4 linked regions of the Coturnix japonica genome follow. Each later gene encodes a partner of the first gene's protein in a complex. Links are inferred from orthologs where the notes say so. Each region holds a gene or a part of one and is shown in the gene's direction. Other genes may lie near its edges.

What was found.
Region 2: the proteins of S100B (region 1) and CAPZA2 are in contact, whole or in part, in a crystal structure (PDB 3RM1), measured with the Bos taurus proteins. The link is inferred for Coturnix japonica from reciprocal best matches to the Homo sapiens genes S100B and CAPZA2. Residues at the interface, in NP_001029727.1 of Bos taurus: Ile37, His43, Phe44, Leu45, Glu46, Ile48, Lys56, Val57, Thr60, Phe77, Met80, Ile81, Ala84, Cys85, Phe88; in NP_001013016.1 of Bos taurus: Thr267, Lys268, Ile269, Trp271, Ile274, Leu275.
Region 3: the proteins of S100B (region 1) and CAPZA1 are in contact, whole or in part, in an NMR structure (PDB 1MQ1), measured with the Homo sapiens proteins. The link is inferred for Coturnix japonica from reciprocal best matches to the Homo sapiens genes S100B and CAPZA1. Residues at the interface, in NP_006263.1 of Homo sapiens: Glu46, Glu47, Lys49, Val53, Lys56, Val57, Thr60, Phe77, Met80, Val81, Ala84, Cys85, Glu87; in NP_006126.1 of Homo sapiens: Thr265, Arg266, Ile269, Asp270, Trp271, Asn272, Lys273, Ile274, Leu275.
Region 4: the proteins of S100B (region 1) and RPS6KA1 are in contact, whole or in part, in a crystal structure (PDB 5CSJ), measured with the Homo sapiens proteins. The link is inferred for Coturnix japonica from reciprocal best matches to the Homo sapiens genes S100B and RPS6KA1. Residues at the interface, in NP_006263.1 of Homo sapiens: Ser42, His43, Phe44, Leu45, Glu46, Ile48, Val53, Val57, Ala84; in NP_002944.2 of Homo sapiens: Ala697, Met698, Ala699, Ala700, Thr701, Ser703.

The regions. Positions count from the first base shown.
Region 1 is NC_029522.1:2,448,798-2,456,962, reverse strand, and holds S100B (protein S100-B), read left to right. Parts: upstream 1-3,596; 5' UTR 3,597-4,021; intron 4,022-5,275; 5' UTR 5,276-5,290; coding exon 5,291-5,428; intron 5,429-5,661; coding exon 5,662-5,802; 3' UTR 5,803-6,554; downstream 6,555-8,165. UniProt on the Homo sapiens protein: Small zinc- and- and calcium-binding protein that is highly expressed in astrocytes and constitutes one of the most abundant soluble proteins in brain.
Region 2 is NC_029516.1:22,329,383-22,337,386, reverse strand, and holds the start of CAPZA2 (F-actin-capping protein subunit alpha-2), read left to right. Parts: upstream 1-3,466; 5' UTR 3,467-3,474; coding exon 3,475-3,594; intron 3,595-8,004. UniProt on the Homo sapiens protein: F-actin-capping proteins bind in a Ca(2+)-independent manner to the fast growing ends of actin filaments (barbed end) thereby blocking the exchange of subunits at these ends.
Region 3 is NC_029541.1:3,608,841-3,617,003, forward strand, and holds the start of CAPZA1 (F-actin-capping protein subunit alpha-1), read left to right. Parts: upstream 1-3,717; 5' UTR 3,718-3,794; coding exon 3,795-3,833; intron 3,834-6,808; coding exon 6,809-6,872; intron 6,873-7,103; coding exon 7,104-7,155; intron 7,156-7,921; coding exon 7,922-7,985; intron 7,986-8,163. Other genes in the region: ST7L (suppressor of tumorigenicity 7 protein-like), read right to left, coding at 932-1,047, 1,633-1,687, 2,023-2,182, 2,877-2,959, 3,431-3,623. UniProt on the Homo sapiens protein: F-actin-capping proteins bind in a Ca(2+)-independent manner to the fast growing ends of actin filaments (barbed end) thereby blocking the exchange of subunits at these ends.
Region 4 is NC_029538.1:170,207-174,234, reverse strand, and holds the start of RPS6KA1 (ribosomal protein S6 kinase alpha-1), read left to right. Parts: upstream 1-1,228; 5' UTR 1,229-1,313; coding exon 1,314-1,376; intron 1,377-4,028. UniProt on the Homo sapiens protein: Serine/threonine-protein kinase that acts downstream of ERK (MAPK1/ERK2 and MAPK3/ERK1) signaling and mediates mitogenic and stress-induced activation of the transcription factors CREB1, ETV1/ER81 and NR4A1/NUR77, regulates translation through RPS6 and EIF4B phosphorylation, and mediates cellular proliferation, survival, and differentiation by modulating mTOR signaling and repressing pro-apoptotic function of BAD and DAPK1.

The DNA.
Region 1 (8,165 bases):
TTTCCTCCTGTTGACTTTCAGGGCGATCCGGGTTCCTTTGTGCTGCAGGGTGACACTTGTGTAAATCAGATGGAGCAAAGTTCAGGACAAAAAGCCCACAGTGCTGGCCGTAAATTCTTGTGGTTAACATCCAGCACTGATGCTAACAATTGGACATAGAGACATAGGCTGTGCAGTGCCTGCAGCCATGGGTAGTGTGGGAAAGGCTGGAGCCACGGGGTTGCAAAACACGCTCCCAGCATTGATGTGCATTTCAAAATTGCCCAAAATACACCGAAAAGAGAAATCCTTGAAGGGGAGTCCTCGCTTTATTTTTGTGCCAGGCTCAGGGTGAATCATCTCCACAAATCAAGCTCATTTGAGTCTGTAACTTGTACTTGCAATCTGAAAGTTTTCACAGCACGTTTGCTTAGTACATAAGTCCCATCTCCCTGCTGTACATTTCTATTATTCATGTAAGTATAAGCTAATATGGCTACACAAACATATTTGAATCTCCTATGCTTGCACAGGGTTCAATGAGAGCCCTGCCCGTCCCGTACCACCCGTTCTCACTAGGGAGAGCTGTGGTGCTGCTGCTCACGGCTTCAATGGCTGGCGCTGATTGAAGCGCACATAGGAGCGCTGTATTTGGGGCGTTGTAGCCATGTTTTGTTTTGGTCTGGGGAAACAATTGAGGAAAGCAGAACGATGTTCCTGGGAGGAGCTTCTCACAGGGATCTCTGCTTCCCTGTAACTGCCGAAACCTTGAGTTAATTTCCAGCACTATTTGCCAAAAGGCAGCGATGGTGGGTGAACCGCTTGAGTTTCTTGTCTTTATAGGATCGATCTGCCGCAGGCATCGCACTCATTATGCAACTTGGGCATTGCTTTATACAAGCCCACTCCATCTTCTTTCTCCACTGACTGCTATGGGCACCAGCCTGACTCCCAGTGTTCGCTGCTGCTTCCTGATTCTGGAGGTGGTTTCAGGCTGCCTGCCAGGATCCTATCCCATCTCTCCTGCGCTCAAAGGAGCACAGTGGCACGCAGAGCTATGGAGCCTGCAGAACCCTGTTCCCAGTGTGCTGCCCTGCAGAGGCAGGAGCGTTTATTTCCCGTCCTACTCACATTCCTCTGCCCTCACGGGTTTTTTCTCCCAGTTCAATGACCGCCAGCCTTTGTCTCGTGGTCTGGCAGAGCCTGGTGCCACGCACAGCAGGGACACAATGGCACACACTGCCTCTTCTCTCTGGGCCTGCTATGAAGACCTCACATTGTGTTAAACTAGGGAGAGAGAAAAGCAGAGGCCTGGAGCATTGTGCTCAGCTTTGGGCTATGTAAAACCCTCTGTTTCTCCAAAAATATCAGTCCAAAGTCTTAGCAAGAAAGCAGTGACCTGAGGAAAGTTTCCCTGAGGTCACAGTCTTCATTAAAAGGCCAGGACCATGAATTTTAAGATGAAAGAATTGGCGGCACGTTGCACATCGCTGACATGTTCAGAAATGCACCAGCTCCCAGCCTAGCACAGTCTGACACTTCACCTCCTCACAGGCCTCAAGGATTACTCACAACATTGGGCTGGAGTCAGGGGTGGGGTGTAGACTGATTCACACTGGCCAAGGACCCTGTACAAGGAACAAGGCAGAAACCTGGAGCTGCCCATTTGCAGAGGTGGGACATGGCCAAGGCTGAAGGCGCACATCTAACCCTGATAACAGGCAGGTTTCCAGCTTGGGTTGCATGGCAGTGTCACGCCATGCATGCTGTCATCCTTTACACCTCAATGGCCACGGCCCCTCCCTCACTACCCACAGCACCATCCAACATCCAATGCTGAATGGTAACCACAAGAATTTACGGCCAGCACTGTGGGCTTTTTGTCCTGAACTTTGCTCCATCTGATTTACACAAGTGTCACCCTGCAGCACAAAGGAACCCGGATCGCCCTGAAAGTCAACAGGAGGAAACTTTATTGCCAGACCCAAAGTAGAAGGCACCAAACACCCACTGACCTCGTGCATCAGACAACAGAAGCCAGTGTAGCATCTCTGTGCCACGCACGTCTTTCCAGCACAGGTTTGTGCAGTGGCTGTGAAGGAACCTGCCCGTGCCCCCTTTCCGTGCCTGGACCCGCTGTGCCGGACCCACCCTGGCCCTGACCGCCGGGATCAGGAGCTGGTGGAAGGAGCCACCACCCATTGCCAGCGCCCGGCGAGGGCTGCAGACCTTTGTGCGCAGTGCTGGGTGCGCCGTGTGTCTGCTGGGCATCCCCATGATGATGGCACCGTAAAGCCATCGGCGTGTTTATGAGGCAGCCGTGCCCGTCGGGTGTCAGGGTCCCGTATAAATACGGGGTGCCCGAGGCCGGCCCGGACAGCCCGTGTGCCGCGTGAGGACGCCGCCGGTCCCGCCGTGCTGTCCGTGCGGTCGGTTGTGCAGGTGCTGAGCGGCAGCGGCCGGCGGGGTGGGAGGCAGCAGGGCCGGCTCTTCGGTGGAGCCACGCGGCCCCGAGGCCGTGGGCCCGGCACGGGGCTCGGCTGTTCCTCGCCGCCCCGAGGGGCTGCGTGAGGCCGGGGTCGGGTTCTTTGCATCAGCGAGGGAAACCACGAGCCGGGGTGGTGCCGGGACTGCAGAGGGGAGGGCGGCTGCAGCTGGGACCCCCGGGAGGGTCGGGGTGGCCACGGGGACGTGTGTGGGACAGGCGGTGCCGTCCGTGCGGGGCCACACGTGGGCTGGAGCCCTGGGGCCACGGGGACGCCCGGCACGAGGGTCGCGCACGGCAGGCAGCGCTGACAGCGCGGTGCTTCCTTCCGTTGCAGCTCGGGGCCGTGAGAAGATGTCATCCCCACACCCAGGTGAGCGCCCGTGGGAAGGGCTCGGGCGGCCCTGGGGGTGCCCGCGCTGCCAGGCCGCTCCGTGCCCACGTCCCCTCCCGCTGCCCGCAAGCCCGGCCGCGCCCGGGTCCAGGAGCCTCCCACGGCGGCCGGGGCACTGCAGCTGCAGCAGAGCCGCGTGGCCGCCCCGCAGCCCTGACGCTCCCCTCTTCCTGCAGGGCCACACGGAGGGCCGCCGCCGCCACATCCCGGGCCTGGGCACCCACCTGCACCGCACGGCCCTCCCGGGCATCATCACCCGCCCGGCCATCATCCTCCCGGCCATCATCCGCCCGAGCATCACCCGCCCGAGCATCATCCTCCCGGCCATCACCCGCCCGGGCACCACCCGCCGGGCCCCCACCCCCACGGCCACCCCCACTAGGCGCTGAGCTCTGGCGGCAGCCGCCCCCGGCCCGGCTCCTTCTGCGTCCATCGGCCGCCCCATCGCCGCGCTGCCGCCGGGCTCTCCCTCCGGCCACGCGCGGCGGCAGCTGTGCCGGCAGCAGAAGCTCGGGCTCGGGTTGAGGTGCGCAATAAAAGTCCGCTCGGTGCCTCTGCGCTCGCTGTGTTTGGCGGACGGTCTCCGCGCCGCGTGCCGGCCCCACGTGCAGCAGATGAGCGCAGCGCAGGGCAGCGCCGCCGCTCGTCCGGGCGCGGGGAGACGGACGGAGCGACGGGGTTCGGGCTCCCGGCACACGGCCCGCCCCTCCGCGAGGCTCTGCGAGGGCACGGTCCGCCACGGGCGCCGTCGCCTCGGTTGTAGGCGCGGAACGGAGCGGCCGCGCAGCCCCTGCGCCGTGCGGAGCCCCCGGGCCGCGGGTGGGAGCGTCGCGCAGCTCCGCTGCTGCTCGTCGGCTCCGTGCGGGCAGAGCTGCGGCACGGCCACGCTCCGGCACCGCGCTGCTCAGTGCACGGGGTCTGCTTCCCCGCACTATTCACAACGGCCGCCTCCTGTAGCAGCCCCCACGGCCGCCGTGGGTCGGCTGGGCGCCGATGCGCGTCCGTGTGCCACTGCGCACAGCCCAGCCCGCTGTCGGGACGGCCCGGCCTCCCTTTGCCATTGGTCCCGGGCGCTGCGGCACGGGTGAAGCTCCACGCCCACGGGCATAAGAAGGCGGTCAGCCGCTGGGATGCAGCCGCAGCGTTGAGCATCGCCAAGGGAGGTGAGAAGGAATGGGGCTCTGGGTGGGGTGGGGGAGCAGCCGACGGGCGGGCTGGTTGGCTGGTTCGCCATGGTTCTCTGCCATTCCGGAGCTGAGATCTTTGCTCACCGCAGAGGCCGGTGCAGAGCTGAGTTAACCAATGGCAGACATTTACCCCTGCGGTATGTATTTAACGAGGACCGGACACCAAACCGTTGCGTTTTTTAAGCCCAGTGTAAATGCATTGAGCAGCTTCTGGGAAGGTGGATTTGCATCCCTCCCTGTCGGGTTATTTTTGTACGGATATCTGTGGAATCTGCAGGAATAGCTGAAATTATTGGTAGTCCTGCACCAGGTCAGATGTGCGAGGAAGGCAGGCAGAGGAGTTGCCCTTGTTTCTTTCTATTTGCAACTATCAAAATCGAATCCTCATGCCCTCCCGACTGTTCATTTGGAAGTGGGCCTGCAGGCAAGAAGGGCAGAGGTGTGGGCACCTGAAATAAAAGGGAAAGCAAAGCCTTTCTGAAATGCATCCCCCCACCCTTACCTGCTCCTGTCCCCAACTTGCCAAGGAAAGCAACGGGTTGACCAGTAGGAATAAAAGAGTTGGGTGAGGTGACAATATGCGTGATTAAACGGGTGCTCCATCAGCTGAGAATGTGGCACAAGGACACTGTCCAGTTCCTGCCGCACTTTGATAGTGGTTTGAGCCATCTGAAAGTGGGCTTCCTTCCCATGGGGAGCGCCAGGCAGCAGCACTGAGATGCAGCCCAGCCACGGTGAGACCTGGGGGAGGTCCAGCAGATCCAAGGCAGCTCTGAGCCAGAGCTGGAGCCCCATCCTGGGCACAGACCAGTGCTCTGTGCTTCCCGCAGCCCATTTCTGCTATGCAGGTTTCCCAAAGGGGACTGGCAACACAAGCTTAGCAAATGACCCTGTCCCAGCTGACAGCCAGCTCAGCACATATGGGAAACGCAAGAAGCCTCCAGGATTTTGCCACCCATCTCCTTCCAGTTTTCTCTCCCACGCTCTGCACACTCCTGTTGGTTCCAGGGAATGCACCTGTCCCACTGCCACCACTCCCTGTGTTGCAGCTCACCTGGAGCACTCAGAGCCAAGGCCCCTTAGAACCACAGATCCTGGGATCTTCTCTGAAGTGAGAGCCACTGGCAGAGCTTGCCTGTGCTGCTGTTGGGTGGGGGGTTGCAGCAGGGCTCTGATGCATCACTGCAGCCTAACCCTGCTGATGTGCCCGTCGCCTCCCTCTGATCTCAGGACTGTGCTGTGACCATGTCTGAGCTGGAGAAGGCCATGATTGCCATCATTGATGCTTTCCACCAGTACTCCGGGAAGGAAGGAGACAAGCATAAGCTGAAGAAATCGGAGCTGAAGGAGCTCATTAACAATGAATTAACTCATTTCCTTGGTGTGAGTATTGCCCTCTACATAGCACAGCTGGGCTCAGGCTCCAGCTCCCCAGGAGCAGGTGGTGGCAGGACAAAGCCTGTGTCAGGGCTGGAGGCTTGGGCTGGACACTAGGGAGATTTCATTCCCTGGGACGGTTTATCACCCTGTTTATCACCCTTACCCTGTGGGGCTCAAGGTGCCCTGGTAGGGCTGCTGTTAAGCAGATGCTACTACATCCATTTCTGCCCTTTCAGGAGATCAAAGACCAGGAGACCGTGGACAAAGTCATGGAGGCACTGGACAGTGATGGGGATGCAGAGTGTGACTTCCAGGAGTTCGTGGCCTTCATTGCCATGGTTACCTCTGCTTGCCATGAGTTCTTTGAGCACGAGTGAGCTGGTGAGAAGCAGCTGAGCAGCTCCCACTCACACTGGAGAGATGCAGAGCGGTACCACTCCTCTTGGGAGAAGACTGGATGCACCTGGGGGCTCCATGAAGTTAAGCTTGCGCTACTTAAGCAGCTTATTAAACTCTGCAGCTTTGTGAGCAGAAATGCCCATGCATCTTGGGAAAGCCTCTTAGACAGCGCCCACCTGGGATGGCATGTGTTCGAATGCCACATCTCAGGCTCACTCCCTGCTGCTGTGTGCAAGGGACAGGCAGCGGGCTGGAAGCAGGTGGCCGCTGCAATCCTTTAGGTTGCTGGCAAAGGGAAAAGGAAAATTCAAGGGGTGAGGCAGGGCGTGATGCAGAGAGGCTGGTTATAGAGGCCTGGCTCTGAGCCCATTGGCCTACACAGAAAGACTCTGTGATCTCTGTGGGCTCTGACTGCCCCACGCATGCTACTAACCCTGGAGCAGAGCCCATGCAGTCCTTGGCAACTTGAGAAACTCCTGGCTTGAAAGGCAAAGCATAACCATGTAACAGCCCAGGCTTTTCTCCTGCCTATGAATCCTCCTGCTTATAGCTGTCCGCAGAACTGGAAATGAAAGCATAGGAGGCTCCTGGGCTGGGCCTGAGGTGCACATTGGCAAGCTCTCAAGGCTCAGCCTGAAGGAAGGGTGAAATCCATATGTTATCAGCTGCAGCTCCAGAGTATGTGGAAACAATGAGAATAAAATGTTGGTCTTTGGGCCATAATGCGGTTCTGGTGAAAAATGAATCCTTTTGTCTCCGGGCTTTGTACACTTTGTGGCTGCTTTGAGTTGTCAAAGGTTGAGGATACAGCCTCGGAGCACCGCTGAAGTTCACATAGGCAGCCAGTTCATTTACCTGGGGTTCTCTTTCAGCTCCCATCACCTATCAGTCTGCAATTGCCATCTTGTGCTCCACCAATAACTGAAAAGGAGGTTTTGCTATCCTAAGGTAGTGCACATCCAAGTTACTTATTACGTTTCTGACATCCTCATCACTTGTCCACCACTGGTACAGACTGTACAGACCTGAGGACGTGTAAGGACAATGAATGAGGACTGATCAGACAGGGCACCAGCAGATAGTTTCTTCATATTAAATGCTCTGTTGAAATAAGAACTACTTGCCAGCAATACTACAAGTGAAGTAAAAGGAGAAAATATGGCAGCAGGGAGCTGAAATGTTTAACAGACTCAGACTTTAAACACTGGAGAAATGACAGCCAGGGGCAGCTTTGGTGCACACGCCCTATATTATGGTCCCACGCCACAGCCTTATTTCTATATTGGAGGATTTGAAGGCTGGACTAATCACTGGATTTATCCAGTGTGGATAAATCCATCCATCCAGAATTGGATGGTCATAGCAAGAGAGCTGTTGTCAACAGCTCTTTGTCTACATGATGGCCAGTCACAAATGGTGTACCCCAGAGGTTGGGCTTGAGATCAGTGCTCTCCTCCAGTGGGAGGACAGTTGGACTAGATGATCTTGTAGGTCCCTTCCAACCCTATGATTCTATGATAAGAACACACTGAAATCAGCTCTGTGGAGAACTTGAGGGTTCTGGAGGATGAAAAGCTAGACATGAGCCAGCAGTGTGTGCTTGCAGCCCAGAAGACCAACTGTATGCTGGGCTGCATCAACAGAGGGGTGGCAGCAGGGAGAGGGAGGTGATTGTTCCTTCTTCTCTGCCCTTAAGGGCCCCATCTGGAGTACAGTGTCCAAACCTGGGGTCTTCAGCAAGGATGTGGAGCAGGTCCAGAGGAGGGCCATGAAGATGATCAGAAGGCTGGAGCACCTCTCCTATAAAGAAAGGTTGAGGGAACTGGACTTGTTCAGCCTGGAGAAGAGAAGGCTGGGGAGACTTCATCTTGGCCTTCCAGTACTTGAAGATAATGTGCAAACAGGAGGGAGGACCAACGTTTTACATGATCTGACAGCAACAGGAGAAGTGGAGGTGACATAGTGATAGGAGAAGGGGGATGGCTTTAAACTAAAAGAGAGATTTAAGTTAGATGTTTGGAAGACATTTTTTACTCAGATAGTGGTGAGGCACTGGAATAGGTTGCCCAGAGTGACTGTGGATGCCCCATCCCTGGAGGCATTCAAGACCAGACTGGGAGGCATTCTGGGCAGCCCGATGTGGTTAGTGGCTGGCAACCCTGCCCGTGATTGGAGCCAGATGATCTTTATGGTCCCCTCCAACCCAAGCCATTCTATCATTCTATGAAATCTGCACTTTATCTCTCATCCCAGATAATGATAGGCACAGCACATCTGTGTAAAAGGGAACCCTCTCTGACAAGACACAAAATCACCAGCACTGAAAGAACACGCTTCTTCT
Region 2 (8,004 bases), on another chromosome or scaffold:
AATCAACACAGTCTGGATTATGTAAGCATTACTTCTTCTAAATTGTAGCTCAGAGCTGCTTAGGTATTTTATTGAGCAGCATTTCATCCTTATCATCTTGTTGCCTCCACTTCTTCGCAGTTGCTGCTGCCATTACAGCCCACTGAACCTCCCTTCAAAGACCTGCAATTTCCTATCTCTGCTGAAGCAGGAGTAGCAGTCAAGACAAAGCTGTATTACCTTCCTTTGGTTAGCTGCTTCTTGGATGCTCAATTCTTGCTCTTTTTCACCCTGCATTTGTGCATTCCTATCTCTGAATATAAACTCTGTGTCACAAATAATCCCACTCTGAATGAGTATACCCCCTTCAGGCTGCCCCTCCGCTGCCATCTTGTTGCAGGGCATCAAAATTTAACAGAATATTGGTGGGAAGTTTCAACCTCTAATGCCACATCACCACCTCCGGTTGTGGGCCAGACTCATGAAAATAGGATACATGACTTTCAGAGAAGCCTTCATAATTCCTAAAACATAGATACTTGTCTATGAAATAAGAAAGGCAAACCTAGGACTGTGAATTTGAATTACATAAGGCAAGATATATAGCTGACTATTCCTGGAGGGGGTGGGATGGAAAAAGAAGCTGAGAAAGCTCCCAAGAATAGAAGCAGAGTAGGAAGCCACCGAGCAAGCCTGGATCGGATCTGAATGCAATGGTAAAATCAGCCCCCAAAACAGCAAAAAAATGTCTACTCTAAATATCAAGCCTGTCATCCAGACAATTGTGACATGCACAGTCATAAACATAAAATACAATGCAAAATTTCAATAAATATTATAGTTGTGAAACTTAATGCTGCAACAATCTTATAAACGTCACTGAAAAAGCCTAAATATCCTCAGACTTCCACAGATGGTGAAGGGCTACTGAGCCATTCTCTTGAATACCTGCTGCAACCTAAAAGATTGTGTTAGCCAAGGAAGGAGCTCAGTCTAAAGTTTGCACTAGAGCTAGACTGCATTATAGCTTTCTTCCCTACATGACTTTAAGCATTTAATGTAAGGATTTACCATTCAACTCTTCTCGAATAAACCTATTTGCTTTAACTGTTAAGATACTGTAAGGTAAAAAGAGAGAACTGGGAGGTTTGCAAAGACCAAATACTGCTCAGAGTCAATACCGAAATAAATGACAAAAGCAGAACAGCAATGTACTTGATTAGTAGCTCTACGGTGTCTGATAAAATTAAATAGACTCAATGGCTGCTTTTCTATTTTATTTTAAATTGCCCTTCTCTCCTTGCATCAGTAAACCACACACTGCTCATCAGACAGACCAGGCGGCCCGGAGTGAGCTCCAATGTGGGATTAGAAATTCACTTAAACTTGGGTTGGCTTGTTAGCAATTGGATGTTTCACTTTACTGCATGTAACTGCAGTGCAAATTAACCTTTGATCGATGTGTAGAGACAGTGGCACATAAAAAAGCTATGTAGATGAACTTCATGGCATAATAAGAGCTACCGGTTGGAAACTGAATTTGTACAAATTAAAACAGCAAGTGAGGAAATATAACTTCAGATAAGATGCAGATAAATTCCAAACTAACTCAGGCATCACTGCTTTATACTGCAGTCACCCCCCGAGGAGATATTTTCTAAGTCACTTCTTAATCTTGGCATCCTTAAGCTTCCCATCCTGCAGTTCGCTCTGCATCTTCAGGAATATTTTTAGTTCTCCTTCCTTTAAACTCCCCATGAAGTATCCATATTCTTCCTGAAAAGACACAAAACCACTTCAAAACACTGAGTCATAAGGCAAGAGCAGCACTTATTTCCACATTATCCTGATTATTCACTTCCCATTAAGTCCTAAGGTCACAGTAAAGCACCTGCCAGTGTAATGCACAGAAGGTTCCCACTAATATCTGTGATGACTCAACAGTCCTCCCCTGAATCATTCCCCTCACCATGGTAAAATTCTGCAAATGTTAAGAAAAAAAAACCTTGCTTAAACACAGTAAAACCAGCAGCTAGATATCACATCTTAGGAGAAAATCAGCCATGTTTATATGCCCAGATCTACCTCCTTGAGTGATCCTCTTTTTACATTTTAAGTAAAGCTGTTTCCTTGGCAATACCCCAGTAGGTGGCAAATCCTAAGGCTTGTTGGAAATCAACACAGACTTCCCCAGCTGGTTTATTTTAAGACTCTTGGATAGAAATTATCAATTCCTGTTGCATGAAACTGAATGCTACGCAATGCATTCCATGCTACAGACCATTAACTGCAGTTGTTGACTCCAAATAACAAGTATGAGATGCTCCCAAACCAAACTATGTCAGGACATACCTTTCTCGTTCTACGCTTCACTGCTTTGCCTCTAGCAAGGACCTCATCACATACAAGGTTTGTTTGTTGTTTATTTTGTTCCCAACAGGAACAAAACTACCTTTGTCCAGCATGGCTACAGATATTTAAAACGTCTCTTCAGCTTTTCTGAATCAGACAAGTTGCCCAAATTGTACATTCATTGACTTTTTCATTTTCATCCTTTGTTTCTATATCGATTTTCAGGGCATTGTAATTTTCCAGTGCTCGCTTGACCTGCAAAAACCACTTGTACAATATTGCTTTCTTTTATTTAAATACAACAGTCCCTCTAGGGCATCTAGAATGCTACAGGTACTGGGAATATTTTGTTGTGCTGCATGTGACAGTATTAAGCAATTTTATATGGCTGCTGTTGCAACAGAGACGGATGAGCCTCAGAGCGTACCAAGATCTTTTGCTAGAAGGTGACTATATCATACCACTAATTATGATCTACTAAGATCTATCTTGATGCGTGTGAAGCTCCAAATTGTCATTTTGTTTCCTAGTGTTAATCCAACTGAAAGATGTACCCAATAAAATAACGTGATGTGTGGATTCACTTAAGGGTTGTCATGTTTTATTATGCAGAATGAGGATTTCCGTGTTATTTCAGCTGCACGTGCTATTGTACCACCGAGGAAACTGGCACCCCTATTAATGAAATGGTGCTCAGTCGTTTTATTCAGCCTTTACCACAGCATTTCACACAACCCAAGCAGCAGAACTTGGTTTCCCTAATGCATCATTTCCCATTTTTCCTCTGGTTTTCACCAAGTTAGAGGAAGGATATCTCACAAACATCATCTGACTCCTCTCAGCCTTCGGTTTCGTTTTTCACCACAGCATTTCAGCTCCCACCTCTCTGAGCCCAGAGCTCAGCCAGCCCCGCCATGAGGGGACCTGAGCAGCGTCCCACAGGAGGTGAGGAGCACTCCCAGCCAGCGCCAGCTCTTCCCCCACCCCCTGGTCTCCCGGTCTTTGCCATAAGCAGACACTGAACTCCACATCCTCACAACACACACCAGCTCCACCACCTCCTCCCTATCCCCGCGCGCTCCGTGTGGTACACGCACACACCGCCCACCCTTCCCTCAGCCGGTGCCCGCCCCCGCATGGCGCATGCGCAGACGCGGCTCAGCCTTGGGGCGGGGGTGCCCTTCCTGCACGCGAGGGCGGAGCTGCGGGGCGCCGGACGGCAAGATGGCGGACCTGGAGGAGCAGCTCTCGGATGAGGAGAAGGTAGGGGCGGGCGGGGTGGGGATGCTGCTCCCGGCCGCCGAACCCCCCCCTTCCCCGGTTCTCTGAGTCGGCGGGTCGCGGCACCGTCGCCGTTTGGGGCCGCCCCTGCGGCTCGGCCTGTCAGTCGGGGGCCGGAGGAGGGTCCGCGGGCGGGCAGGGGGCAGGGCCGGCCCGGGGCAGCTCCCGCCGCTCCTTGTAGGGCCGGGATCCTGTGTCCGCTGGAGGCGGCGGCGGCCGGGGAGAGAAAAGGCTCCTCCGGCTCTTCCTCCATCTCCGCTTCCCCTTTCACGGGCCTCCTGCTCTCCCCAGGGATGGGGCCGTGCCTCGGCCTGGCCCCCGAGCCGGCGTGCCCTAGAGGAGGAAGGGTGTGGGGTGAGGAAGGCTTTTTCGTTTCCTGTTAGCAGCAGCGGGGGAAGGCTGAGCTCAGGGATCAGACCCCAGGGTCTGTGTGCGTGATCGCTGCTTGTGGCCCTGGGAACTCATCCGGCTTCAAGCAGGTTTTCACAAGGCATCTCTCAAGAAGCAGCGTGTGTTACAATGCCTCCGTTAGCAGCACTCCCTGCCTTCCCCTCGGACCCAGCTCCATGGTAGCTGCCTGCCCAGAGCTGGGGTGTGGTTTTCCGTGTGCTCGGCTCATGTCTTCACATAGAGCGGTTTTATGCTTTTCTGTACTAAAAAACAAAGCAGGTTGTTGTGGCAGCGGAAGCTTTGGGATGATTTAAATGTTGGAGACATCAGAAAAATAAATGCTCCAGACTTCTCTGAAGTTAGAAGAAGGATGTCCAGAATGTCTTAGGTGGTTACAATGAGGTCGATTCTCTGTACTTTTCAAGATTGACAGGGCTGTGTTTCAGAGCTGGAGAGGCGCTGGTGGGCTAAGATGTGGATCTCTAATTTCTGTTCCTAGCCACAGGTTTTGAGACTGGTCCTCTATCTGGTTCACATTCACGTGTGTTAGATGTGGCAGTCTGTAATTGTATTCATTCTACAACATACAAGTAGCTTTAATCCACTGTGCCCTTGACAGAGTATATGCCTGGACATGCTGAGTCTGCAAGTGAAGATCCCAGGGCTGGAGGATGGCTCAGGTTCGCAGGCCCAAGCAGGGAACCCACAATCACATCCAGGCTGCTTCTGAATATCCCAAAGGAGGAGCAGCCTGTGCCAGCACTCAGCCACCCACAGAGCTCAGAAATGCTTCATTCCTCGTGCCAGACAGAACTTCCTGTTTCAGTTTGTTCTTATTGCCTCTTGTCCTGTCAAATAACGTAAGATACAGTGACACTTTCTTCTTAGCTCTCTATGAGCTGAGAAGCACTGCCTGTACTCAAGTGACCGATGAAGTTAAGTTCTGAACTTCCTTTTGTCCATTAATTACAGTATTTCTTTTTGTCTCCAAATGGGTGCAGACTTTCTGGAGGCTTCTTCTGCCTTTGTATAATTGAATAAAGTCAGCATTTTTCCATTGCAGATTAAATTCATTCCTCTGCCCATGTCTGTCCTCTATAACACTGATCATTCTACACGATTGAAGTTTTCCAAGCCTGGCTGCGTGTTTATTGGCAATAAAACAGAGATGAATAATGCTGCAGGCTCATGGATAGGCAAATAAGTGACCGTGCTGATCCTGTGATACCTCCAGGTTTTTATTTGTCACAGAAGAGGCATGTGGGTTAGTTTTCGTGAGTCTGAACCACTTTGAAAGTTTGTCAGTGTTATGTATGTGTATATATATGCTTCTCTGTGTAACTTTCTCCTGTTATACGAAACAAATGGCATCAAAGACTGACATAAACAATGTTAATGCTATAGGAAATTTTGATGGAGATGTAGCTATAGTGAGGGATTAAGTGATAGCACAGGTTATGAATTGTACTTGGTTTGTGGCTACCTCTGTGTGTGGGCAGGAACTGTAAGTGCTGCAAGGGCAGTAAAAAGTGCTTAGTTCAGGTAAGGGAGCTCTAAAACCAAGGAAGGAGAAGAGCAACTGCAAGGAAACATCACTTTAATGTGCAGGATGGTGTATCATAGGATCGTTCGAGTTGGAAAGGACCTTTAAAGGCCATCTAGTCCAACTCTCCTGCAGTGAACAGGGACACATACAGCTGGATCAGGTTGCTCAGAGCCCCGTCCAGCCTGGCCTTGAGTGTCTCCAGAGACAGCACCTACCTCCTCTCTGGGCAGCCTGTTGTGGTCCCTCACCACTCTCATTATAAAAAAACTGTTCTTATATCTAGTCCAAATCTCATATTTTTTAAGCTTGAAACCATTTCCTGTTGTTTTGTCACAGCAGACCCTGCTAAAGAGTCTGTCTCTTTCTTTCTTATAGTCCCTTTTCAGACACTGAAAGGCCGCTCTCAGGTCTCCCCAGAGCCTTCTCTTCTCCAGGCTGAACTGCCCCAGCTCTCTCAGCCTGTCGTCAAAGGGGAGCTGCTTCATCCCATGGGTCACCAGGGACTGCCCGGTACTACAGACAGCTTCTTTGAGATACAGTGGGTTTGTGGTGTTCTGTAGGTCACTGAAAATGAGGAACATCTCAGTTAGGTGGAAAAAAGAAAATATTATGCTTATGTTTCAGTCTGTAAATCAAAATGAGATGTGAGAGGTAGAAATATTGGAATACAGAACTTTTAAGGGAGGAAGTAATGGAAAATCATCACTTTCCTTCACTTCGGAGGTAATTTATCCTCTGAATAAGTCTTGAATACAAAAGCTATTTATTTATCCAACATATTTGTAGTAGATTTTATGCTTAATAACCACTTTTAGCAGTGTAGTTGTGTTTCAGTTCCTGTACGAATCATTCTGCCTGTGGCCATGAAAAACTGATAAGCAAATATAAAAATGTTTTGTTTTTTTTCTATGAGCTTATTAGCGTGCATCTAAGAATTGCACTTTATTTACATGAATATAAGCAGTGATCAACGGAAGGTATTGTCTTCATTGCAGATGTATTTGTTAATGTAAATACTTGTTAATAAATAGCAGCACACACAAAGCAGGGCTGCAACTGTTTGAATCCTAGGGATGTTTATAAATACCTGAGGTGTGGGAGCCATAGTGGTGAGGCTGGTCTCTTTTCAGTAGTGCATGGGGACAGGACTAGGGGTAATGGGATGAAACTACAGCATAGGAAATTCCGCACGAATGTGCGCAAGAACTTCTTTACGGTGAGGGTGATGGAGCACTGGAACAGGCTGCCCAGGGAGGTGGTGGAGTCTCCTTCTCTGGAGATATTCAAGACCCAGCTGGACGCCTACCTGTGTGACCTGGTGTAGGGAGCCTGCTTTGGCAGGGGGGTTGGACTCGAAGATCTCTAGAGGTCCCTTCCAACCCCTATAATTCTGTGATTCTGTGATGTTCTGTAGTCAGTGCCTTTTGCTGACTCACCATGATGTGTTTGCTGTAGGGTTTTTTTTTTGTCCTTTTTCCTTTTGCAATGTAAACCCTTCTCACTACAAAGCACAGGAGTTAAATAGCCGTGGAGGCAGGCTGAGGAAACAGAGATGTCTTTAGTGAAGAAAGAAGAGAGCATTGATAGGAAATTAGAGAACATAACGTGGTATTTTTTAATGCAAAAGCAGCTCGCTTTCCTTACAGTGCTGAGCATAAAAGTCCATGTATTGTCAAAGGTATCAGAAAGGAACCCCGCCTCTTTCAGTAAGGTTATGCCTCAGTGCACTCCTACTTGTTCAGGGAGGCGTATTGAGTAAGGTGGAGTTGAGCAGTTGGCCAACTGGCTGGAGGGATAACAAGACTTCTGATGAGGAAATAGTCCCATCTGTGAAAGTGAACTTGCTTTGCTACCACATATTCCCTGGTGCATTAGGTAACTTGACAGCTTATTGAACTAGGCGTGAACAGCTAGAAAGCTACTGAATATGGCAGCAAAACTCTGCAGTGGAATTTAGAGTGGTTAAGGAAAACTCATTTCTTTAGTAAATGCTTAGAAATGAAAAGTTTAAGCCAGTAAAATGCATTGTCTCGTGTCAAGGCTTTGTATCACAGTATCACACACAGTTTCACAGTCTCGTGCGGGTTGGAAGGGATCTTAGAGATCATCGAGTCCAACCCCCGGATTCGAGCCTCCTGTGTAGCAGAGCAGCATGTATGTTGGCAGCAGAGCTCCCTGTGCAGGAGGAAACCCACCCACGAACTTAGAAGCATCAGTAGGGCTTTTTGTACTGATAGTTATTCTTTTAAAAGTAATTAAATGTCGATGTTTAGTAAGTCAGTTTGTGCTCTTAATCATTTGTTTTGGAAGGGTCTGAAATCTTAACTTCTGGAATTGCCCCAAATGAGACTTGGAGACTATAGGAAATGAGGGTCAGAACATTTTGGAGTAGAAGTAAGATTTTAATAGTCAGTTGTGAATATAATTGCGCAATAATCCATAACTGAAGGTGATGC
Region 3 (8,163 bases), on another chromosome or scaffold:
GTAGGAAACAAAAATGGTGACTTCTTCCCACTCAAAAGGGTGAAGTGAATCACAGTTTGATTTCAAAATCACAGTCAGATGAAGAGCAAACAAATGGAATGCAGCATCTCTAAACCTTTCCCTTAGTTGGAAATAGAAGTGAAATTCTGATGGAATGTTTCCATCAGGGAAAAACGGGAATCCCAAACTAGAAGTCAGCTTCGAGCAGAAGATGGACAACATACTTCGAGCTGCCATTATCTGTGCTGAAGTAATAGCTTTCATACTAAATAACAGCTCTGAAATAACTCCAAAACTTTACGTTCATGGAATCACATATCTGGCCTATCTCAAAGCACGATAAGAGAACTGAAGAATCTATACATGTTTCTTTTGGAACAAAACTTTCTGCTGTCCAGCAAGAATAACGTGGAAAAATGTTTGAGTTTTCTTTTGGAAACAAAATATTAGTCTTGGCTTAGCAAGAGAGACAATACACTCCACTTGTGAAATATGTAATTCATATCAAAAATGTCACAACGAGCTGACAAGTAATGCTTCCTTACAGCTAGGAGCCGGTCTGACAATAGCCAGGTAGAGAACAGTTTCTTCACTGAGTATTTGAAACACAATGGCAAAATAACAGAGATGGCACCATTTGTAAGGTTGAAATGAGATCACTTCACTGGTTGTTAAGGAAACAGCCCATGTTTTCAGTATTGTGCTGTTCATTATTATTATCTTTTTTTTAAGTGAGTTATTATAATATGTCAGGATCCTGAGAGCCTTTAGTAAAGCACAAGGTGAGAAAAAATCTCATTCCCAAATCCACACATTAAACCTTCAAAGTAGTACAGAAAGGCTAATTCACAAAATATTTGACATGACATTAAATAAACCTGTTTTACACACCCCAATTGTTACGTATCTTATGCATACAGAGTACAGGTACCTGTATCTGAAGGCCGAAGGGAATCTGTATCACATGTGAAAAAGTTCTGATGATCTTGAGCAGACAAATTCATGTCATAGTAGGTAAGAGGCTCTTTCCCAGTCACCCACATGTATCTTAAACAGGAGAAATGTCAGTAAAATGGTAATGCTGATGCCAAAGAAGATATCTGAAGTGTTTAACAACAAGTAGTGCAGAAATGTTATGTTAATAAAAGTCAGGAGCTGATCAGGAGTTTTCTTAACAGGTTGCACAAGGAAAAAAAACCTTTCTGATCCTGCAGTCCTAATCAACTTCCTTCTCAAGAAACAAACACAGAGGGTTACAATACAGCTGCATCTTCTCAGAGGAGAGACTTAAGATTCAGAATCACTGTCTCAATCTCTGAATAAAACATTAACAGCTGTAAGACCAGGACTTTCATAGAGAAGAGGAAAATAATTCCAGGAATATTTTTCTCCTACTTTACTCTCAAAAAAAAAAAAAAAAAAGATATTTACAATAATATTTGCATTCTTAACATTAAGACTGTCAAAGCTTGGATAGGTGCCTTTTAAACACAGGACTGGCATCAATCACCCTTGTAACCTTGCAGGGCTCGGCCGTTTCCCAGTACAACCAGTACAAGCTCTGCAGTGAAGCCATGTGTAGGCTCCCAGTTAATACTAACAACATGCAATGGAAAGTAAAACAGTTAATACCTGCTATATTCTGCCCCTCTGAAAAGATTAAGAGGATTTCGCCACATCTTGCATTCTGAAAAAGAAGTATTTTTTGAGTTAAGAGCACAAACAACATTGCTTTGTGTTTCATATGCAGTTATGAAAACGCTACTTTAATTTTAAAAGCCAATTTAATTTATATTTATCCAACTGGATCTAAAGTTACTGAAACAGTTTTAGCTGAACGTGTAATCTATTTCCTAAGGGAATAAATAATGCTTTAGATCAATTAACTCACTGTGTCATTATTAACATCATAGGATGTAGGCCATTCTCCAGTCATTACAAGCAATAGCACAGGGCAAAATCCCTCAAATCATTTGAAAGCTTCAAGCTGAATGCAAACTGTAGGGATGTGTTAGCAATCACCTGGCATGTTCTGCCTGTTCGCCTCATTCTCTCCAGCTGAGAATGCTGCTGGTGCTGGAGGGTTGTTTTCCACGCCGCCAATGAGTGGCCTCAGGTGACTCACAGATACCTGCTCAATGAAGGATGTGCCATATTTTCGGAAGTGCCACCATTCAAATACCTGTTATGGGAAAGAAAGCACTCAACATTTCCTTAGGCAACAACACCCTTCCGATATAAACACCAGGGATGGAGAGAAAACCGCACAGAGAAAGGACATCCCCTTGCAAATGATTCCAGACAGAATATATACCTAAAAATCAATGGTAATTATCTATTTCAGGATTGTCTTGTCACACAGGATTACCCAACATGGAAAAGATGGAAAAAAAGGAAAGTTTTACTCTCATTATGTTCCTCTCTCCCCAGGTCTTATTGTTACACTATGGACAATAACATATTAATACCTCAATACATGCACAAAGCACCAAAATACAACTGTAGGAAGCTAAACTATCTACTTTCCAAGATAGAAACAGTAGTTTCTTTCCACTGCTGTCTTTGCATGTATATTTTAAAATGTTTATATATTTATGCATGTATTCACATGTGTATACAAATAGACACACACCTCCTCAAAACAACCCTTCAAACAGATGCAATCTACTTTCCCTAAGCCTGGGCAACACACAAGTTAAAAAGTATATAGAATACATATGGAAGGATACTAAGTAACGAGCTCCTTCCTAGTGCAAAGGCACCCTCTAGAGTCTGACTGAAGAAGTCAGTTCCATTGAAGGTGAATGGCATAATCTCGGAGGTGCTGAAAAGGCAGGGAATAAAAGGGAAACAAAAAAGAAGAGCTGCCTACTTACAAATATCAGTCCGGATATAAAGGATGAGGTCACTGTGAGGGCAAAGTAGAATTTTGGAGTCAAAGTGCTTAAGAACACAGTCACTGTTGGGAGACAGAAAAACCAAGACTTAATGAGCAGAACTGAAAGACACAAAAAGGGGTTTTATTGAACAGCATTGCCTAAAAATCACACATATATGGTGTGAGATTATCTTTGGGGCTTCAATGGATAATAGTGCTTTATTAGAGCTGTTTTTGCCTGGATGTATTGCTGTGACAGCTCACTACTTACACAACCATCAAAATATGACCATCACATAACAACCTCCTGACGGCACCGGGCACCAACGCGTCCTTTTAGGGCCTTATTCCATCTTAACTTAAACCCATGATGCAAGATACTGCCCTGATCTCCATCAAGGCCCTCGAGGAAACGCAGTTCTCACCCTACAATCACCGAGGGTTCACCACAGCCCGAGGACAGCACAGTAATGGGGGACAAGGCCCGGGGGGGACAAGGCCCGGCCTGGAGGCCTCGAATCTACACCGCCCCGTTCCCCCCCCCCGCCTCACCGGCCGCCAGGCCGTCCCGTAGCCGCAGCGGCACCCGCAGCGCCAGGTAGAAGAGCCCGAGCCCGGCGGCCACAGCCAACATCCCACGGGCCCACGGAGCCGCCGCCCGCCGCCTCAGCTGCTCCCAGCGCCGCAGCGCCGCGGCCACCCCGGGACATGGCGGCTCCATCCCGGTACCGCAGCCGTCCGCCATGATTAGCGCGGGGGATGCCGGGAAGGGGAAGCTCCTTAAACTTCGCCCATCTCTAAGATGGCAGCAACGTAGCGTCTACCCGCAACCAACATGGCGGCGAATGAGCTTCCGGTCTAACCCAAACGGGATTCCCGGCATGCTCCGCGCGGGGCCGGGCCCTGAGCTGCCAAGATGGCCGACTTCGAGGAGCGGGTGTCGGACGAGGAGAAGGTAGGGAGCGGCCGACCCCGACCCGAGGACCCCATGCTGCCTCTAGGGCCGGCCCCACAGCGGGCAGGGGCTGCCCTTCGGCTCCTCCCTTTCCCCGGGTTCATTCAGTTTGATCCCCGTTCCGTTCCCACACTCCCTTATCCCGCATCGCTTTGGTGCGGAGCTGAGGGGATGGGATGTGGAGAGAAAGGTTCATATTGAAAAGAGGAGAAAAATAGATTGTTCTTCTGGCTTATAAATGTGGGAAAATTACCGTCTGAGTTGCCACAAAGGAAAAGCTGGCAGCCTATGGCCATTTCTTTCCCACAGCTGCAATGCCTTGTATCGTTAAACTGTTGCATTTGGGGTTTTTTTTGCGTTGTTTCATGGAATTCTGCTCTGGGATGTCAACATTCGGGGATCCTGTGAGCACGGAGTCGCTTTTCTTTTCTCCTTTTCCTCCCTGGTTGTGCTTAATGTCAGCAGCTTTATGGTGAAGGAGGCTGGCAGGGCCTTACGGATCCATTGGGCCATCAGTGTGTTAGATCCCAGCAGCACTGAAACCAATAGAGCAGAATTCACCTGGAAATTAAATCCCTCCAGTGCTGTATCAAATCTTTGACCTGCTGTCATTCGGCTGCTACCATGGAAATCATTGCATTTGAAATGAAAATGGGCCCTTTTTCCTCTTTCCTCTATATTCTATGGCTCTTTCACAGCACTTTCAGATGGATGCATCCTGCACCGCCTGTGCCCCAGCATTTCATTTGTCCAAGCAGATAGAATTGCACTTGAAACTGGAACCTTTGTTTGACTTCATGTCCCAGCACAGGCAGGTTGGAATCAGTCTAAGTAGCTCCATGGTGGAAAACGATAATGAATTCTAAGAAACGTACAGCAGAGCTTTATTACGCCACCTGTTTAATAAAGAAACCAACAATTAAACAAATGATAAAATTCACTTGTGCCCTCATACATCCCAACCCTATAAGCCTTGAGGAAAGCCAGTGCTCAGGAATCATGTCTGCTGCAGTGATGGGCAGCTTCTCTATCAGCAGCTCTCCCCATTTTGGAAAGAGGAAGTCAGTGTCGTTTGCTTGCTGCAGAGCTACCTGAAATGGCAGCGATGGGCAGGAAATGGGGCAGCTTGCAGAAAACCTTATTTTAATGCTTCTGCAAAAGAACTTCCTGCCACTGTGCTGACAGTGCACTGAAACAAACCAGCCCTAAAAACGATAAGTAATAGTGATTTGAATGCATGGCGTTTAGGATTAAGTTCTCTATTGTCTGCTTCTTTCGCTCTGCTCCTGATTTCAATGGTTTGATTTAAATGCTTTTTATTTTATTGCTCCACAACTGAATCGATGCGAGGGCTGCTTTAAACCACTGAGTGGTTTTCTGTGGCATGAGCTCCAAGTACTGTATCTGCAAATGCTTCAGTGCATTGTTACACCTGTACCAATGCTTACACTTGCGCTTCCTTAGAAAAGGACATTGTATCATTTCCAGAGTATTTCAGCCCTTCAGGGCTGTCAGTGAAATCCACAGAGGATACAGAACAGAAGCATCCCTCTTAATTACTGCTGGGTTATCTTCGTCACCATCCGAGCTTCCAACAGCGAAGCCTAACAAGGTTGTGAAGCAGTACATCCTAATTACAGTTCTTTGGACAGTGAAAAGCTCCACACAATAAGAACGACATTGTTAGGATTATAATATCTTTATCAGCCTTATTTAAAAGCAGGAAATCATGAGAAAATGGTTTTACATTTTTCCTAATATAAACTATACAAGTTACCAACTCAAGTCAACAAAATCCAGTGTAAGTTTTTCACTTGTACTGTACAATAACTTCATGCATAAAGAATGTACAACTTTCAAAATAGATTCTAATTTGGAAAGCAATCTGTTTTTATCTGAAGCTCTGCCCAATTAAGGCAGAGCAGTTACTTGATACTGTTGGAATAAGGCAATTTACCCTTTGTTTGGAAAGGTGTGAGTTTTCATTCATGGCTTGCTTTAAATGTGACAATTGATACAACTATTTCCAATTAAAACATGGCAGACAGGAGAGAAACAAAGTGTTTTTCCAGCTGTGGCAGCTGAAATTACTGAATTACTCCAAAATTCTAATAATCCCAGAGTTGTGTGAGATTTTGGGTTACAGTGAAGTTGTTTTATTTTTCAGAAGGAAACTGCTTTTGTTTTTACAGCCTCAGAGTTTACAGATATTTGGGTATTTTCCTTCCAGTTGACCTTTTCTCTTATTTATTGTAACACAGTTCCAGATGCCTTCATTCTTTCCTTACAGTGACGACTCATGGCTGGACTGTGCTGCAGTTTCCAATAAAAGACTATTGCAGGATAAGGGAAGGAGTAATGAACCAGAGAAGAGTGGCCAGTAAACCTTGAGAAAACATGCCAGAAAAGCTGGTACACTGCATGGAGCAGATCCAGTTCTTTTTGTTAACTACAGACTCCAAAGAGACAATAACTCTTGAAATCATAGCTTGACATCGATAACAAGAAACCAGGACATCCTGTAATGAATCCCTATTCAGCTCCTGACAAAGTCAGCAACAAATCCATAAGTCAGGGTGAAGTTAAACAGGTTTCCTACACTGTTTCTGGATAGGTTTAGGATATAACAGTTTGAGTACATACATTTAATGTCCTTGCACAGGACATCATGCTAAATGTTTGTGTAGTGGATACACAGATACACACTTGCAACTCTGTACAGAGAAGTAAACAGTACTGGGAAGGCTGAACATTTTCACAGTCACCCATGTGGAATTTGCTCTTCTTGCTACTTTTTGCACTAAAAAACAGTATCTAGCCTTATGGGACTGATGGTTTCCACTTTGAAAACACACACCTGGATTTCTCCCTGACTCTGATAATGAGTATTATCATCAGATTTGGGGGTTTTGTTTAATTGCTTCAGAGTAGGTTGCAATATGCCTGCATTCAGCAAATGGTTTTTGTCTTAACAGGTGCGTATAGCTGCAAAGTTCATCACTCATGCCCCTCCTGGAGAATTCAATGAAGTATTCAATGGTAAGTAAAGAAAAGCCATCAGTAACATTTTATCCACACCTCATCCGAGAGGCTGTGGCTGTCATAAGTTGCTTTTAAGGTCAAGTAGAAGTTGGGAAAAGCATGCTGCCATTCTGTGACTACTTACCCTTAATAAAATGAATTTAATCAGCAATGTTTATGTTTGTACAGTTGTAAAATAGAGAAACATTTGATCAAAAAACCCAATAACTTACATGTTCTCTTCTCCAGATGTCCGGTTATTGCTTAACAACGACAATCTTCTCAGGGAAGGAGCAGCACAGTAAGTATTCATGTTTCAAGCATAAAGACTATGCCTCTCTGTGGTGGTAATTTGACTTACACCCATCATCTTGGAACAAAGGAAGCCATTTGTTTCATTGAGAGCAGTCTGCTGTAGTTCCTTATCCCCCACCGAAATATATAATGAAAGGCATGGCTGGTTCTTTTTAAAAGGCTTAAATTGGAATTTGTGGTGTAGAGGCCGTACATAACAGACAGGAAGGCACTCTGCCAAAAAGGCTAATTCTGCAGCAGCAAGAATGGCTGATCTTGTTGAAATGCGATTTGGTGAGCAAGTGAAGCCTGAAATTCTGAGCAGTCCTCAGCCAGAGCATAAAATAAAAGCTGCCTTCAAAAACTGCTTTCAGAACATCTTGTTTACTTGCACAGTCACATCAGAAGGTGTCTACATGCTATGCATAAAGGGCTTCTGATGTTTTATTTAGATCTGTGTGACACATCCGTCAGCAGGTCTTGACAGAAGAAAATTGTTGTAAACATTAGTCTACTCATATTTGTTTACCTTGCTGCCTGTTTTGCATCAGCTTGCTCATTTTCCCTCAGGCTCCCTTCTGTTCTACTTTTGAACTCTGTACTTTCATGATCACTGAATAAGCCTGGCTTTAGACCCAGATTATTACAGCTATCAATGTGTGGATTATTTGCAAGTTGCAATTTTCCCTGTAGTATGAGTCATACCATGTGCTTATTACTAAAAGAATATGAATATACGTACAGCTAAATTTCATGCTCTTAATTCTTAACAGCGCATTTGCACAGTATAACATGGATCAATTCACTCCGGTGAAGATAGAAGGGTATGATGATCAGGTAAGGAAAAGCTTTACACTCAAGATTTCTGTTACTGCACAGAAGCAATATCTATTTTATCAGGATCTCTATGATTTTCTTTCTACATGCAAATTATCATCTTTTCTTCTTCCCCCACATCATCCCTGCATTACCAAATTGTTGTTCTTGTGTAAGAGGCAGAGGCAAAATCTTTCCT
Region 4 (4,028 bases), on another chromosome or scaffold:
TCTCATTTTGTTCTCCTCCCTCATACTCCTCTACGCATTCCCAGTTGGTTTGCATGCAGAGTAGCTGGAAATCCAGAACAGGAGCTGCATTTTGCAAACAAACATAGAAGGTAAGCGGGATGCCAGCACTGACATCATCGTGTTATCGATGCCATTTAAAACAGGTTGCAATCTGCAGCAGCTGGAGGAGGGATGCAAGCAAACGGCACACCATGTACCAAACAATAAGGGTAAATTATGGACAGCTTCGGAGCTGAATGAATAACTCTCCGCAAGATCTGCTTCAGCTTGCTCCAACGGTAAGTGACATCAGTTTAATTGGCCTCATTTAGCACCAGCCTGGTGGATCTGTGTTATTTAATGCCTTCATCTGCAACTCAGTGCTTGCAGCACAGAGGGGTGCTCCAAGCACAGACAGCAGTGCTGGGCTCACATACTTTCACCGTGGGAATTTCTTACATCGGATTCCTGCACGTGTGAACAAGATGGGCCTAGTAATGGCTCACAGATCAGTTCTGAGAGCTGTGAGGATGGAGTGGAGTTTCTCAGCCTGCTGTGCTCTGTTCTACTTCAGCTTTCTTCACCTTCACCGCCTCTGATCAGCTCACGGCATTCGGGCCTCACAGGGATGGCTTCACGGGACAGAGTGCAGCAGCAGAGCTGTGTGCTGTGCTTTCCCTTGGGCTCATTAAATGATATTTCAGCCACACCTTGATGAAGTCAGCCCTTAGCAATGCACCCTTTGACGTGGTTATTTGTTTTTGTTTTTTTAATAACAAATCGTTTTAAAGAGGTTGAAAACGTGGTACTTTGGATTTCAGTAAAAGCAAGAAGACAACTCCTCCTGCACGAGAAACCCGGCAAACCCAAACAGTGCCGCATGTGTTCTGAGCAGCTGTGCTCACAGTACCTTTCCTCCGAGCATCCACCGAGGCAAAGCGGGGAGGGGTTCGTTACCCGTATTCGAGGAGAGCACCGCGATCAGCCACTCATCTCCAACCGAAGAATCCAAAGGTGTGCGTGGATATACACACGATCCTTCATTCACGTCGCTGCCTGAAGGAAAAGCGCAGGGCGGGGGTGGGTCAGGAAGGGCTTAAGGAAAGGCTCCGCACCGCAGTGGGCTGCCCAGGGCAGCGAGCGCAGCCGAGCGACGGTTCCCCGAGACCAGCTCGGAGCCGCCCCGGAGCCGGGAGGAGCCGCGCCGCCCCCCGCCCCGCCCCGCCGCTCCCGGCCCGGCTCGGGCAGCCGGTGCCCAGCGCGGGGCACGGAGCCGAGCGTTGCCGCGCCCTGCGGGGCTGCTCGCCGGCAGGATGCCGCTCGCACAGCTGGCCGAGCCCTGGCCCAACATGGAGCTGGTGCAGCTGGATACGGAGGTGAGCGGGGTGAGACGGGCGGCGACCCCCAGGGGTCTCGCGGAACAAAGGAGAGCCCGGCCGGCCTGCTCCTTTTCTTCCTTCCCTCCCTTCCTTCCCTCCCTCCCTCCGCTCTTGCCCCGCTGCTCCAACTGAGCCCCGCGGGGTTGGGAAGCGCGGCGGATCGCTGGGAGCTGCCGGCTGCGCTGCTTTCCTTCGGCTCCTCGGTACGAGCTGTGAACGCGAGCACGGCTCTGCTCTGGGAGCTTCCCCCGCCCGCCTCAGCGCTGCCCAGCCGCCGTCCTGCGTCTGTCCGCTGGATGTTGTGCGCTTCGCTCTTAACGAGCCCCCCCAGCCCAGGTGTGCGCTGCCCGCACCGCGCTTCGCACCGCAGCCGCCGCAGCACGTCGGCACCGCTCGCAACCTTTTCCTCGCTGTGGTGCAGCCGAGGTGTGAGCACAAACGGCTCCTCAGCCCGGCTGCAGCTCGCGGCTTTCGGGATGGGTTCGTGCGGGTTTTGTCCCGCTTCGCTCGCTCCCTGCCGCTCTCCCGTTTTAGACCTTCTGCCTCTTACCCCTCCTATCGTGCCGAGGGATGTCACAGTGGTTAACTGGTCAGTTTCGTTTATTCCTACTTAAAATTATCTCTTAAGGAAGCTCTGCTGGGAACGGAGGCCAGGTTGCCCAGCTGTCACAGCCAGATGTGAGGGGTGGGCGGCTGCGCCTCGTGCTGTGCACTCACCTCTGCTTGGGGTGTGGGGATGTGCCTGTGTCCTTCGGGGACTGGGTCGTGGTCCTGAGGCCATAACGTGCTCAGGGAAAGCTGGGTGTGATGGGGGGATGCGATTTGTCTGGAAAACAAACTTGGAGTGGGAGGAAACTAATGCTGGTGCCTGGGGCGATAGATGCCATGGGCAGGATTGGTGTGTCACTTAATCCTGGGGATTCGGGTGCTGGGTGGCAGCTGTGCCAACACCACAAACGTCTCCCCTGGCTGGAAGCAGCCACGGGGGCACCACATTCATCAGCCAAAGTCCCTCAGGAAGATTGTGGCAGCAGCGAGGGCTCCTCTCCCCATTGCATTAGTTGTGGATGTGTACTCTGTAAACTGCAGCTGCAGGCTGCCTTTCCCAGCTCTCCTTGGCAGGGCTGGAGGTTGGCGGCAGGGCTGGGAGCAGAGTGCTGGTGCTGGAAGGCACTTGACACCTCAGCACTGTGCCAGGTGGGACACCAGCAGCTCTGCTCCCTCGGGCTTCAGGTGAGCGATGTGCTCGGTAGCATGGGCACTCTGCACCTCTGGGCGCTGCTGCAGGCACCTGGAGCCGACAATCTGTGAATGGCAGAGAAGGACTTGGTGGAGTTTTGCACGCAGTGAGGTTCTGTTTGCCAGGGGCAGGAAGGTTCACCTTCTGTAGGGCAAGGTGGCACCAAAGAGAGAAACCAAAGAGACTTTTCTGGAATGCGTTACGTAAATCGCCTGGGATCGCTGCCATCGAGGTGTAAAGCCAGCTTCCTCCAACCTTTGCTTTCTGAGTCACGGAGCAGAGGTGCTGGCACTGTGCTGCGGAGGCACCCAACTCATTGTGTCAGGGGGTTTTTCCACTGCTCCCCAGGAGCAGCTGCTGAGCTGGTCACAGCCAGCACCCACTGTCTCAGAGCTGTGCTGAGGAAGCAGTGGGAGGGTGAGCTGTCCTGTGGACTGAGCTCGCTTCATCATGCTTCCTTCTGTTTACAAGGGTGGACAGTGATAGGACAAGGAGGAATGGTTTTAAACTAAGACGGGAGATTTAGGTTGGATCTTAGGAGGAAGTTTTTCCCCAAGAGGGTGGTGACACACTGGAACATGTTGCCCAAGGAGGCTGTGGATGCCCCATCTCTTCAGGCATTCAAGGCCAGGCTGGATGTGGCTCTGGGCAGCCTGGGCTGCTGGTTGGTGACCCTGCACACAGCAGGGGGTTGGAGCTGGATGAGCATTGTGGTCCTTTTCTACCCAGGCCATTCTATGATTTCATTCTATGATTTCATTTATTCCAGTTCTTTTATTTTTATTCCCTGCTCTATTTTTTTCTGCCTATTTGGAATGTTGCTTATGTGGTAGAAAAACCTGTGTGGGGCAGAGCACTAGAGATGGAGCAGAGCTGAATGACTGCATTGCCATAGTGATGGGAGCTGCCATCATGGCTGTGCATGCCTTTAAACTCTTGTTGTCATACACAAACACAGAGCAACACAGATGACATGAGATTACGACAAACCCAACCACTCCAAGCTAATTATTTTGGCCTGTGTGTGTGCATCTGCTCATCCCTTGTTGAGCAGAAGCTATTCAGGAGTAACTGTCTTTCTCTGTGTGCATTTCAGCTTAAAAGTGAAGACAGTGATGATCAAAGGGGAGGAAGCAGAGAGGTTTCTGTCCATGATACACTTTGAGCACTGTCTCCTCTTGCGTGGGGAACTCTGGAGGGAAGAGCTGGAGATGGTTGTTTTTGCAGAGTTCTGTCCTTTCCCCTGTGCCATGGGGTGATGTGTGTTGGCAGCACTGAGAGAAGCGCACAGCCCGCATGGTGCTGCCCGTCCTGACATTTGTCCTCCTTACGTATCAGAGCAGCGGTTCCCTGTTCTGTAAATTGCTCCTCCACATGCTTCAGATTAGGTGGAATTAAAGGGATTTAAA